Anolis sagrei: one gene and its partners. Each later gene encodes a partner of the first gene's protein in a complex. Links are inferred from orthologs where the notes say so. Each region holds a gene or a part of one and is shown in the gene's direction. Other genes may lie near its edges. The genes, in order: TCTN1, TMEM216 and TMEM17.

The links.
Region 2: TCTN1 (region 1) and TMEM216 share a complex: the UniProt entries of both Homo sapiens proteins name them as parts of the tectonic-like complex. The link is inferred for Anolis sagrei from reciprocal best matches to the Homo sapiens genes TCTN1 and TMEM216.
Region 3: TCTN1 (region 1) and TMEM17 share a complex: the UniProt entries of both Homo sapiens proteins name them as parts of the tectonic-like complex. The link is inferred for Anolis sagrei from reciprocal best matches to the Homo sapiens genes TCTN1 and TMEM17.

The regions. Positions count from the first base shown.
Region 1 is NC_090034.1:31,327,284-31,331,033, reverse strand, and holds the start of TCTN1 (tectonic-1), read left to right. Parts: upstream 1-1,263; 5' UTR 1,264-1,272; coding exon 1,273-1,806; intron 1,807-3,750. UniProt on the Homo sapiens protein: Component of the tectonic-like complex, a complex localized at the transition zone of primary cilia and acting as a barrier that prevents diffusion of transmembrane proteins between the cilia and plasma membranes.
Region 2 is NC_090021.1:236,146,536-236,150,285, forward strand, and holds the start of TMEM216 (transmembrane protein 216), read left to right. Parts: upstream 1-976; 5' UTR 977-1,237; coding exon 1,238-1,250; intron 1,251-3,750. UniProt on the Homo sapiens protein: Part of the tectonic-like complex which is required for tissue-specific ciliogenesis and may regulate ciliary membrane composition.
Region 3 is NC_090021.1:152,383,707-152,387,456, reverse strand, and holds the start of TMEM17 (transmembrane protein 17), read left to right. Parts: upstream 1-1,019; 5' UTR 1,020-1,106; coding exon 1,107-1,212; intron 1,213-3,750. UniProt on the Homo sapiens protein: Transmembrane component of the tectonic-like complex, a complex localized at the transition zone of primary cilia and acting as a barrier that prevents diffusion of transmembrane proteins between the cilia and plasma membranes.

The DNA.
Region 1 (3,750 bases):
TTCATTCCTTCCCTCTTTCCCTCCTTCTCTCATTACTTCTTAACAGTCCCTTTCAACTCTATTCTGTAAGTCTATTTAATTTGTATTATATAGTAATATATAATAGTAACATAGTATATAGTAATGTATATAAAATATATAAAATATTGTATTTATATCTTACATAGAAAGAAGGAAAGGAAGAAGGAAGGAAGGAAGGAAGGAAGGAAGGAAGGAAGGAAGGAAAAAGGGAGGGAGGGAAAGAGGGAAAGAAGGAAAGGAAGGAAAGGAAAGGAAAGAAGGAGGGACAGGAAGGAAGGAAAAAGGAAGGAAGGAAGGAAGGAAGGAGGCAAAGGAAGGAGGGGTGAAGAAAGGAGGGAGGGAAGGAAATGAAGGGGAAGGAAATGAAGGGGAAGGAAATGAAGAAAGGGAAAGGAGGAGGAAAGGAAGGGAGGGTGGAAGGAAAGGAAAGGAAGAAGGAAGGAGGGACAGGATGGAAGGGAAGGAGGGAAAGAAGGAAAGGAAGGAGGGACAGGAAGGGAAGGAAGGGGGAGAAGGAAAGGAAGGGAAGGAAGAAAAGGGGGGAGGAAAGAAGGGAAGGGAGTGAGGGAGAGAAGGAGTGTGGCAGAGGGAGCTACTTCCCAGTCTGGATGTTAATAGAAGAGAGAGAGAGAGAGAGAGTTAAATGTATGCTCCTGTTGCCGAGACAGATCTACAGAAATGAGAGAGAAGGAGAGGGAGGAAAGAAAGAAGGAGTTGGAGGAGGAAGAAGGGAGCAGGACGCAGAGGAATGGGAGAATTCAAAAATAAAATTTGTTTCTGCCTCTTTCTTTCCTCCTTCCTGCAGTGAAGGGAGGGAGGCAAGGAAGAGTTGGTGAAGAAGGCAACGGTCTCTCTCCCCTCCTCCCTCCCTCCCTCCTGCCTGGTGCTTCCACCCCGGCATCTTGGAGGAAGAGGAGTCCCTTTTGTTATCTTGAACATCCATGCTTCCAGGAACTGTGGAACTCCTTGCTGCGTCTCAGATCAGCTTGAAGGCGGGGGCCTGCTAGTTCATCCTCATTACCTTTTAGTTTTCCAAAGCCTTTAGAGTAGGCATGGGCAAACTTTGGCCCTCCAGGTGTTTTCGACTCCAACTCCCACAATTCCTAACAGCCTACCGGAATTGTGGGAGTTGGAGTCAAAAACATCTGGAGGGCCGAAGTTTGCCCATGCCTGCTTTAGAGTGCGAGAGCCTCACCAAACGCAATCCCCCAGAATCGCATTGGTTTTAGTTGCTGCATCACACAGTTGCCTATGGCTTACACGCAGCCCACTACGGCTCAAAGATGCAATTTCCGATGTCGCCACTGGAGGGTGGCCAAGGGCAATGCATTGGAGCCGCGGCCTTCTGGGCAAAACAGCGCCTCTGACGAAGGGGCAGAAGATCAAGCGGGTGCAATTCTCGGTGAGTCCACTGGGGACGGCAAAGGCATTCGTTGCCATAGCGACGGCTTTGGCGGAAAACTCGGCCCCGGCTCCCGTGCTGCCTCGCGCTGTATCCATAGCGACCGTTGCCGAGGCCTCGCGGCGCCATGGAGCGCGGAGCCTCGCCGCTCTACTTGTGGCTGCTCTTGCTGCTTCCGTGGCCGGTGGGCCTGTTCACCACTCCGAGAGCGTCCTCCGCGGAGCCCGAGAGCATCTCCACCTCGGGAGCCACCCCCGCCGAGGAGGGCAGGCCCAGCCCCGGGCCTAGATCTACTCCTGCACCCGGGCCTAGGGCTACTTCTGAGTCCATGCCTCCTGGAAGTCCCTCGCGGTTGGGGCCCTGGCCCGAGCCCGCCCTTCACGGTGAGCCCTGCCCTTCTCCTGAAGAGACATAGTACAAGAAAATGGGTGTTGGGTGGTGTGTGGCGGGGGGTAAGGCGAGTGGAAACAGGTCAGCCATTGGAGTCTGACCATCCGGAAGTGTCCATCCCCTCAAGCATGGGAACCTTTGGGACTCCAACTCCCAGGAGCCCCAGGCGCCAGGCATTCTGGGAGTTGGAGTCTCAAACACCTGGAGGGACCAGTCGCTGTCCTTAAGGGGCCCTAGAGGCGACATGGAAAGAGCCTCCTCGAAGATTGAGTAAATATTTATTTATTTATTTACTCTATTTATACCCCGCTTTTCTCTACCCCAAGGGAGACTCAAGGCGGCTTACATATGACAATTATTCCATGCCTTAAACACATACAAACATTAAGCTTAATTAAAATTAATGCATATTAAATATTTAAAATTACATTAAGTATTAAAATCACACCATCCAAAAATCGTAGTCTAAGGCCGTTTCCTAGTCATTGCACATATTCCAATTATATTGTTGCACTGCGCTATTATCCGAAAGCCTGATACCAAGGCCATGTTTTTACTCTCCTTCTGAAGGCTAGGAGGGAAGGGGCTGATCTAATGTAATTGGAAAGGGAATTCCATAGATGAGGGGCCAGCACTGAGAAGGCCCTGTCACTTGTCTCCACCAGTTGTGGAATCGAGAGCAGGGCCTCCCCAGACGATCTTAATCTCAGAGGTGGTTTACAGGGGAAGATACGTTCAGACAGGTACACTGGGCCAGAAATGTTTAGGGCAGTGGTTCTCAATCTGTGGGGCCCCACGTGTTTTGGCCTACAACTCCCAGAAATCCCAGCCAGTTTACCAGCTGTTAGGATTTCTGGGAGTTGAAGGCCAAAACAACTGGGGACCTACAGGTTGAGAACCACTGGTTTAGGGCTTTATAGGCTAAAGCCAACACTTTGAATTGTGCTCGGTAGCAGACTGGCAGCCAGTGGAGCTGACATAACAGGGATTGTGTACTCCCTGTATGCTGCTCCTGTGAGCAACCTGGCTGCCACCCATTGAACACTTGAAGCTTCTGAACAGTCTTCAAAGGCAACCCCACGTAGAGCGTGTAGTGGTAATCTATAAAAAAAGATAGAAATACAGTCAGGTGTCCCCTGGGCAATGTTTCTTGTAAACAGCTAATATTTCCAACCCAAAATCATTTCTTTACAACATTTTTGTGCAATGCTTTTGACACGAAATAAGGACCAGGCCTGGTAAGGATTGCGAGAGGAGATCCCCAGCCTGCCCCAGGTGCTCTATGACTGTATCATTGGGTTGGTCACCAATTACTACCGCCCTTTGGTGCCTATCAAAGTTTTCAGGAGAGGAGAAACAAAATGCTTCATTTGGGGGCTTATACATAGAGGTAATTGTGATGTTACTAAGCTCTACTGTTATAAGCTCTATATTGTTTTCTTTAGTGTTATGGGCACTGCTGACTTGGAGGCCTGGTTTTACAAAAACAGCACTTCCATACTGCACATGTGGTCTTCACGCCACTTAAGATCATTCCTGGAACTTTTAGTCGTTTCTGTTGTTTATCCTAGTATGCTTCCTGGACTTGCTTCATAGGAAATCTGCTACCAAACAGTTTTTGCTGAGTTCCAGGGTCAGAGAAGCAGATGTCGAAAACAGAAGAATGGCCTGCCTCAGTTGAGTGTGCTTGCTCCATCCAAGTTTAACATTTACAGGAATGACCAGCCATTGCAAGAAGGGACAGAGAGTTTCATCTATGTCGACGATCATGCCATCACCGCCCAAGCAGGGAGCTTTGAAATGGTTGAACAGAAGCTCTCCAAAGCTTTAGGTCCTCTTACTGCCTATTACAGAGAAAACTAGCTGATTCCTAATCCATCTAAAATGCAGACATGTGCTTTTCATCTTGAAACAGACAAGCAGCTCAAGCTCTGGGG
Region 2 (3,750 bases), on another chromosome or scaffold:
TCCATTATAGAAGAACCACGAGAAAGAAAAAGTTACAGGTTGAGCATCCCTTATCTGGAATCCCAAAATAATCCAAAATACTAAATTGTTCACATGGGAGGCTGCTCTCTTATGTTCATTGTACATGCACAAAATTAATACAAATATTGTATATAAAATTCTTTTAATAGTATAAGAAACAAAAATAAACTTGGCGTTTAAGCATGGCTCCCTCTCCAAGACATGCCATCATGTGTATATGCAAGTAGATATTTCGAAATCCATAAAAATCCCAAATATTCTTTGTCCCAAACATTTCTGATAAGAGAATCTCAGCCTGCACTTCCATTGTCCAGGGATAAGACAGGAATAGGGGAAAGAAACATGCTGTTGAAACAAAGCAACCACAAAATTCTGTGCGTACTCAAATCCTGGGGTATAGAAGTCAAGACAAGCTGTAGCAGTGAAAAGTTGCTTTGTATACTGAAAAGGGAGAAATGAAGGAATAGAAGGGCGGAAAGTCCTTCGGTAAAGATGTTTTCAAGCAGGATCTTGGGGTTTATCCACACTATAGAATGAATATAGTTTGATCCCACTTTAACTGCCATGGCTTAATGCAAAGGAATAGTGGGAGCTGTAGTTTTACAAGGTCTTGAGCCTTCTCTGCCAGAGTGCCACTGCTTCCTCAAACTACAAAGCCCAAGATTTCATAGCATTGAGCTATGGCAGTTAAAGTGGGGTCAATTAATAAAGTCTACAGTGTAGATCAAGTCTGGGCAAACTTGGGCCTTCCAGGTGTTTTGGACTTCAAAAGTCCAAAACACCTGGAAGGCCCAAGTTTGCCTAAGCCTGATATAGATGCATCTGAAGGGCTGCTTATTTCTTGGTTCTTAGTTCTGCTTAGTTGCTATGGGAGGCCTTTTTCCGCCCCCTGATTGGTGGGGGCGAGGGGCGGGGCCAAGGGGTAACTATGGAAACGGAGGCGACCCCTGTCGGGCTCTTGTGAGGACGAAGCGGCTTCCTCTTTAGAGTCCACGTCGTTGTTTCCGGCATCGAATGCAGACTCGCGCCACACTGACCGGCCTGTGTTTGGAGCCTGAGAAGTCCAGGGCTAGAGCGGCTCCGATCCCATAGCGGAAGTGACGTCTTCATCCCTAAGTCAGGCCCTTCTCTGTGGGGCACAGATTGACATCCGGGCGAGGAGAAGTAGCAGCCGGCCGCAGGCTTTCTGCGTAGTTGGTGTCCATGGAGATGGAAGATGGCGCCTCGCAGTAAGTGGTGGCGGGGACTGGAGAGGTCAAACTGCATTAATTCTACAGTGTAGATGCACTCAGTATCATGTGAGGACGAGCTGTGTCCCTGGAAGGAAGTGGGGGAGGCAGAAAGGAAGAGAAGGGAAGGGAAACTGGGGGAGGAGAAAGGGAAACCTCTCTGCAGTCAGGACTCCTAATGTATGGAAGATCCAGACTCAGCAGTATGGAGACTCTCACACTAAAATTAGATCAAATATTGCACTGCTTACAAGATTGGTAATTGAAAGCTACACAAACTGGCAAACGATCATGTCTGACGATTTTAATGATTTTAATTTACAGTTATATGTTATTGCTTTAAGATTTGTCATGTATTGTTTTTATTCTTATGTGAATTTTTGCCAATTATTATGCTGTACACCTCTTTGAGTCCCCCTAGGAGTGAGAAAAGCGGTATAGAAATGCAATAAATAAATAAATAAACTATTGAAATAGCTAAAACCATCAAAATCTATTGAAATACATAATTTGTTCAAGGGTACCAGGTGATCTCTCTGGCTAACAATGCCTCATCCTAAGCTTCGAGTTATAGGATTCCAGTGCATGTTGCCATGGCAGCTGAAGTCGGATACTGACTGTGTGATGTGAGAGGGTCCTTCCATTCTGGGCACTTGCCTATAACTCTTAGCCAGCCATGGGGTGCATCTCCACTGCGGAATTAATGCAGTTTGACACCACTTTAACTGCTATAGCTCAATATGGAATTATGGGAGTTGTCGCCCCAACTCTATTCTCCATCTTCATCGCTATGATACTTCACCTTGTTGATGGGAAGCTTCCCACCGGAGTGGAAATAATCTATCGGACAGATGGCAAGCTATTCAACCTCAGCAGACTGAAAGCCAAAACCAAGGTTACAACAACATCTGTTATAGAACTCCAGTATGCTGATGACAATGTCGTCTGTGCGCATTCAGAAGAAGATCTACAAGCCACTCTAAACACCTTCGCAGAAGCATACGAGAAGCTCGGCCTGTCACTGAACATTGAGAAAACCAAGGTGCTGTTCCAGCAGTCACAAGCCAATCCCTCTCCAATGCCAGTAATACAGCTTAATGGTGTAACATTAGAAAATGTGGACCATTTCCGCTACCTTGGCAGCCACCTCTCCACCAAAGTCAACATCGACGCCGAAATACAACACCGCCTGAGCTCTGCAAGTGCAGCATTTTCCAGAATGAAGCAAAGAGTGTTCGAGGACCGGGACATCCGTAGGGAGACCAAGGTGCTTGTCTATAAAGCCATTGTCCTCCCAACCCTGCTATATGCCTGTGAGACGTGGACAGTCTACAGACGTCATATGCAACTCCTGGAACGATTCCATCAGCGCTGCCTCCGGAAAATCCTGCAAATCTCCTGGGAAGACAAGCGGACAAACGTCAGTGTGCTGGAAGAAGCAAAGACCACCAGCATTGAAGCGATGGTCCTCCAACATCAACTCCGCTGGGCCGGCCACGTTGTCCGGATGCCTGACCACCGTCTCCCAAAGCAGTTGCTCTACTCCGAACTCAAGAATGGAAAACGGAATGTTGGTGGACAGGAAAAGAGATTTAAAGATGGGCTGAAAGCCAACCTTAAAAACTCTGGCATAGACACCGAGAACTGGGAAGCCCTGGCCCTTGAGCGCTCCAGCTGGAGGACAGCTGTGACCAGCAGTGCTGCAGAATTCGAGGAGGCACGAGTGGAGGGTGAAAGAGAGAAACGTGCCAGGAGGAAGGCGCGTCAAGCCAACCCCGACCGGGAACGCCTTCCACCTGGAAACCAATGCCCTCACTGCGGAAGAAGATGCAGAGCAAGAATAGGGCTCCACAGCCACCTACGGACCCACAAGGAAATCCATAATGGAAGACCATCTTACTCGTCCAACGAGGGATCGCCTAAGTAAGTAAGTAAGTAAGTTTTACAAGGGATGTGTCCTTTTTTGCCAAAAGAATGCTGGGGCCTCAGGATCCTATAGGATTTTGCAGTGGTAGTTAAAGTGGTGTCAATCTGCATTAATTTGACTGTGCAGCTGCACACATGGTCCAGATTCAATTTCTCCTTCCCCTTGCAAAATCTCTGCAGTGAGTATTGGTTTCACCTTGAACAGCTATAACCTAGCCATGTTTATAAGCAATGCTTTGGGGTTTGGAAAGATTAGCCGTTTACAAGAAATGTTGCCCAGAGGACGCCTGACTGTTTTTACTCAGTCTTCGAGGTGACTCTTTCCATGTCATAGAATCCTAGAGTTGGAAGAGACCTCATGGGCCATCCAGTCCAACCCCCTGCCAAGAAGCAGGAAAATCAAAATCAAAGCACTCCCAACAGATGGCTATCTAGCCTCTGTTTAAAAGCTTCCAAAGAAGGAGCCTCCGCCACACTTTGGGGCAGAGAGTTCCACTGCTGAATGGCTCTCACAGTCAGGAAGTTCTTCCTCATGTTCAGATGGAATTTCTTCCTAATTTTCAGCCATACTTGG
Region 3 (3,750 bases), on another chromosome or scaffold:
TACACATACACACATCATACATATATATATACATCTATAAATGTACACACACATATACATGTACACATGCCCATATATATATATATATATATATATGGCTGGAGTTACATATAAGACATTTACTTGTTCTGATTTACATACAAATTCAACTTAAGAACAAACCTACAGAACCATCTTGTTCGTAACTTGGGGACTGCCTGTACTTCTGAAATGCCAAATATTAAAAAAAATGACACAGCTGAATAAAATCCCACATTATCTGCTTTGAACTGGGATATATGGCAGTGTGGACTAGGGGCTCTTCCAGACAGGCCCTTTATCCCAGGCTCTGATCCCAGGTTTTCTGTTTATTCCAGATTATCTGGCAGTGGGGACCCATATAATCAAGTTTAAAGCAGAAAACCTGGGATCAGATCCTGGGCTATAGGGCCTGTCTGGAAGGGCCCTCAGATAACCCAGTTCAAAGCAGGTATTGTGGAATTTTCTGCCTTAATATTCTGGATTATATGGCTGTGTGGAAGGGCCCTGGGACTCTGTTTTGATTTTGCCAAGCTGCAATTTTACGACTTCATAGTATTACTGCCGGATATCCCTAAGACCTAAACTGAGGACCATGTACAGACTTAGCTGAATAACTAACGAAATTAAAAGGTTCTATATTCGTCTTCTAAGGGCCCTATATCCCAGAATATCAAGGCAGAATAACCCACAATATCTGCTTTGAACTGGGATATCTGAGTCCACACTGCTATATATTCCAGTTCAAAACAGATAGTGTGGGATATTACTCAGTTGTGTGGAAAGGGCCTAAGGGTTCATTTCTCACTACTAAAAGCTTGTCTGGGGCTTCAATTCTTGGGCTAGGAAGAGTAAGCAAAGTCTGCCACTGAAACCCAAGGTTTGTCTCACTTTAACAGCCTATGTTCGGGGAGACTTTTCCCGCCACGCGGCGCCCTCTCTGGCTGAGAGACACTGTGTGTGGGACTGGCCCAGAGGACCAGGTTTCTGAAGGAGCGACTCTGCGCCTGCGCCTAGGCTCCCGGCCACGCCCCCTGTTGCTACGGCAACGAACGACGGCGGCAGCGGCTGCCTGTCTTTAAGGCCTCATGTCCCTACCGGAGCCGGTCAGGCGTCGGCTCAACTCTTTCAGCCGCACGGTCTTTACTGACAACAGCCGCACGGGGCCCGAGAGCGGAGGCGACGACGTTCCGGGTGAGGGGAGGGGCGGTGTTTCGCCAGCTCCAAAGATGGCGACGAAGGTGGCAAGGGGTTGGAAAGGAGCTTGCCTCAAGGCAGAAAGGGTGGACGGTGGCGCGAGGCCTTGTGCGTCGTCGTTTGACCTGAGAGCGCGAGGAGCGGCACGCGCCAGTAAAAAAAAAGGAGGGAGGGGGAGGAGGAGAAGCCCCTCCCTTCTTGGTCCCCACTCTCCCTGCTTACTGGTCGGACAGTGCAGCCCACGCCGGGTCTGCGGCCTAACACCCCAACTTCTTGTTCCTGGCTCTTCGGAAACAGCACACATTTTTCCTAAAATTGTTCTACAATACCATACAATCCATTTCAAAGCAGATAATCTGGGGGATCTTCCAGACAGGCCCTATATTCCTGGATCTGCTTCCAGATTTTCTCTTTATCCCAGATTATCTGGCAGTGCAGACTCATATAATCCAGTTTAAAGCAGAAAACGCGGAATCAGATGCTGGGATATAGAGCCTGTCTAGAAGGGCCCTCGATTATATGGCAGGGTATAAGGGGCCTTAGGAGCCCCCAGTGGCACAGTGGGTTAAAGCGCTGGCTGAGCTGCTGAGCTTGTTGACCGAAAGGTCACAGGTTTGAATCCGGGGAGCGGTGTGACCTTCCGCTGTCAGCCCCAGCTTCTGCCAACCTAGCAGTTTGAAAACATGCAAATGTGAGTAGTTCAATAGGTACCTCTCTGGCAGGAAGGTAACAACGCTCCATACAGTCATGCTGGCCACATGACCTTGGAGGTGTCTATGGACAACGGCGGCTCTTCAGCTTAGAAATGGAGATGAGCACCACACCCCAGAGTCAGACACGACTGGATTTAATGTCAGGGGAAAACCTCTACACACAACACTGCTGGAATCGTGTCAGAAGTAAATTAAAAATTTGTTGTTGTTCATTCGTTCAGTCGTCTCCAACTCTTCGTGACCTCATGGACCAGCCCACGCCAGAGCTCCCTGTCGGCCGTCACCACCCCCAGCTCCTTCAAGGTCAGTCCAGTCACTTCAAGGATGCCATCCATCCATCTTGCCCTTGGTCGGCCCCTCTTCCTTTTGCCTTCCACTTTCCCCAGCATGATTGTCTTCTCTAGGCTTTGCTGTCTCCTCATGATGTGGCCAAAGTAATTAAGAATTAATTACTACAATTATATATATATATATATATATAAATGTAATGTTCGTTTGTGGGATTAACAGAACTCAAAAATCACTGGACGAATTGACACCAAATTTGGACACAAGACACCTAACAACCCAATGTATGTCCATTAAAAAAAAAATGATTTTCTCATTTGGGAGTTGTAGTTGCTGGGATTTAGCGTTCACCTACAATCAAAGTGCATTCTGAACCCCACCAATGATGGAATTGAACCAAACTTGGCACAGAGTTCTCCTATGACCAACTGAAAATACTGGAAGGGTTTGGTGGGCAGTGTCCTTTGGTTTTGGAGTTGTAATTCACCTACACCCAGAAAGCACTGTGGACTCAAACAATGATGGATCAGGACCAAACTTGGCACAAATACTCAGTATGCCCAAATGTGAACACTGGTGGAGTTTGGAGAAAATAACCTTGACACTTGGGAATTGTAGTTGCTGGGAGTTATAGTTTACCTACAATCAAAGAGCATTCTGAACTCCAGCAACGACGGAATTGAACCAGTCTTGGCACACAGAACTCCCATGACCAACAGAAAATACTGGAAGGATTTGGTGGGCAGTGCCCTTTGGTTTTGGGGTTGTAGTTCACCTATATCCAGAGATCACTGTGGACTCAAACAATGATGAGTCTGGACCAAACTCTACACAAATACTCAATATGCCCAAATGTGAACACTGGTAGAGTTTGGGGAAAATAGAATCTTGACATTTGGGAGTTGTAGTTGCTGGGATTTATAGTTCACCTACAATCACAGAGCATTCTGAATCCCACCAACGATAGAATTGGGCCAAACCTCCCACACAGAACCCCCATATGGGCCACAGCAATGCGTGGCAGGGGACAGCTAGTAATGTATAAAAAACAAAGTTCAAAACTTGGCATTATATTAAATTTCCTTTGACCAGAGGCTGGCCATTTGGAGTGCCTCTGGTGTCTTTTTAATTTTTTTTTATTGATTTATCACAATTATTACATACTGTTGCATTTTATACATCAACCTCTTTAACATGTTGTTTTGTTGTTTTGCTTTGACATTTCCTCCCCTTTTCTCTTTTTTTTTTCCCCCCTATTTTCACCTCAGTGCTCCCCTCCACCCGTCTCAAGCCACATTTTTTACATTTCATCTGTCCAAAATTTCATTTCTTCTTGTGACGGTAATTTTCCTTCCTTATTTTTTAATCCATTTACCACAAATTTTCCCCATATAGCATCAAAATCACTTTGTTTCCATATACCTTTTTAAACCTTTAATATACATGTCAGTTTGTCATTTAATGCTATTTTCCATGCTTCCTTGTACCACTCCTCTATTCGTATATTCATTTCTTTTTTCCAATTCCTTGCTAT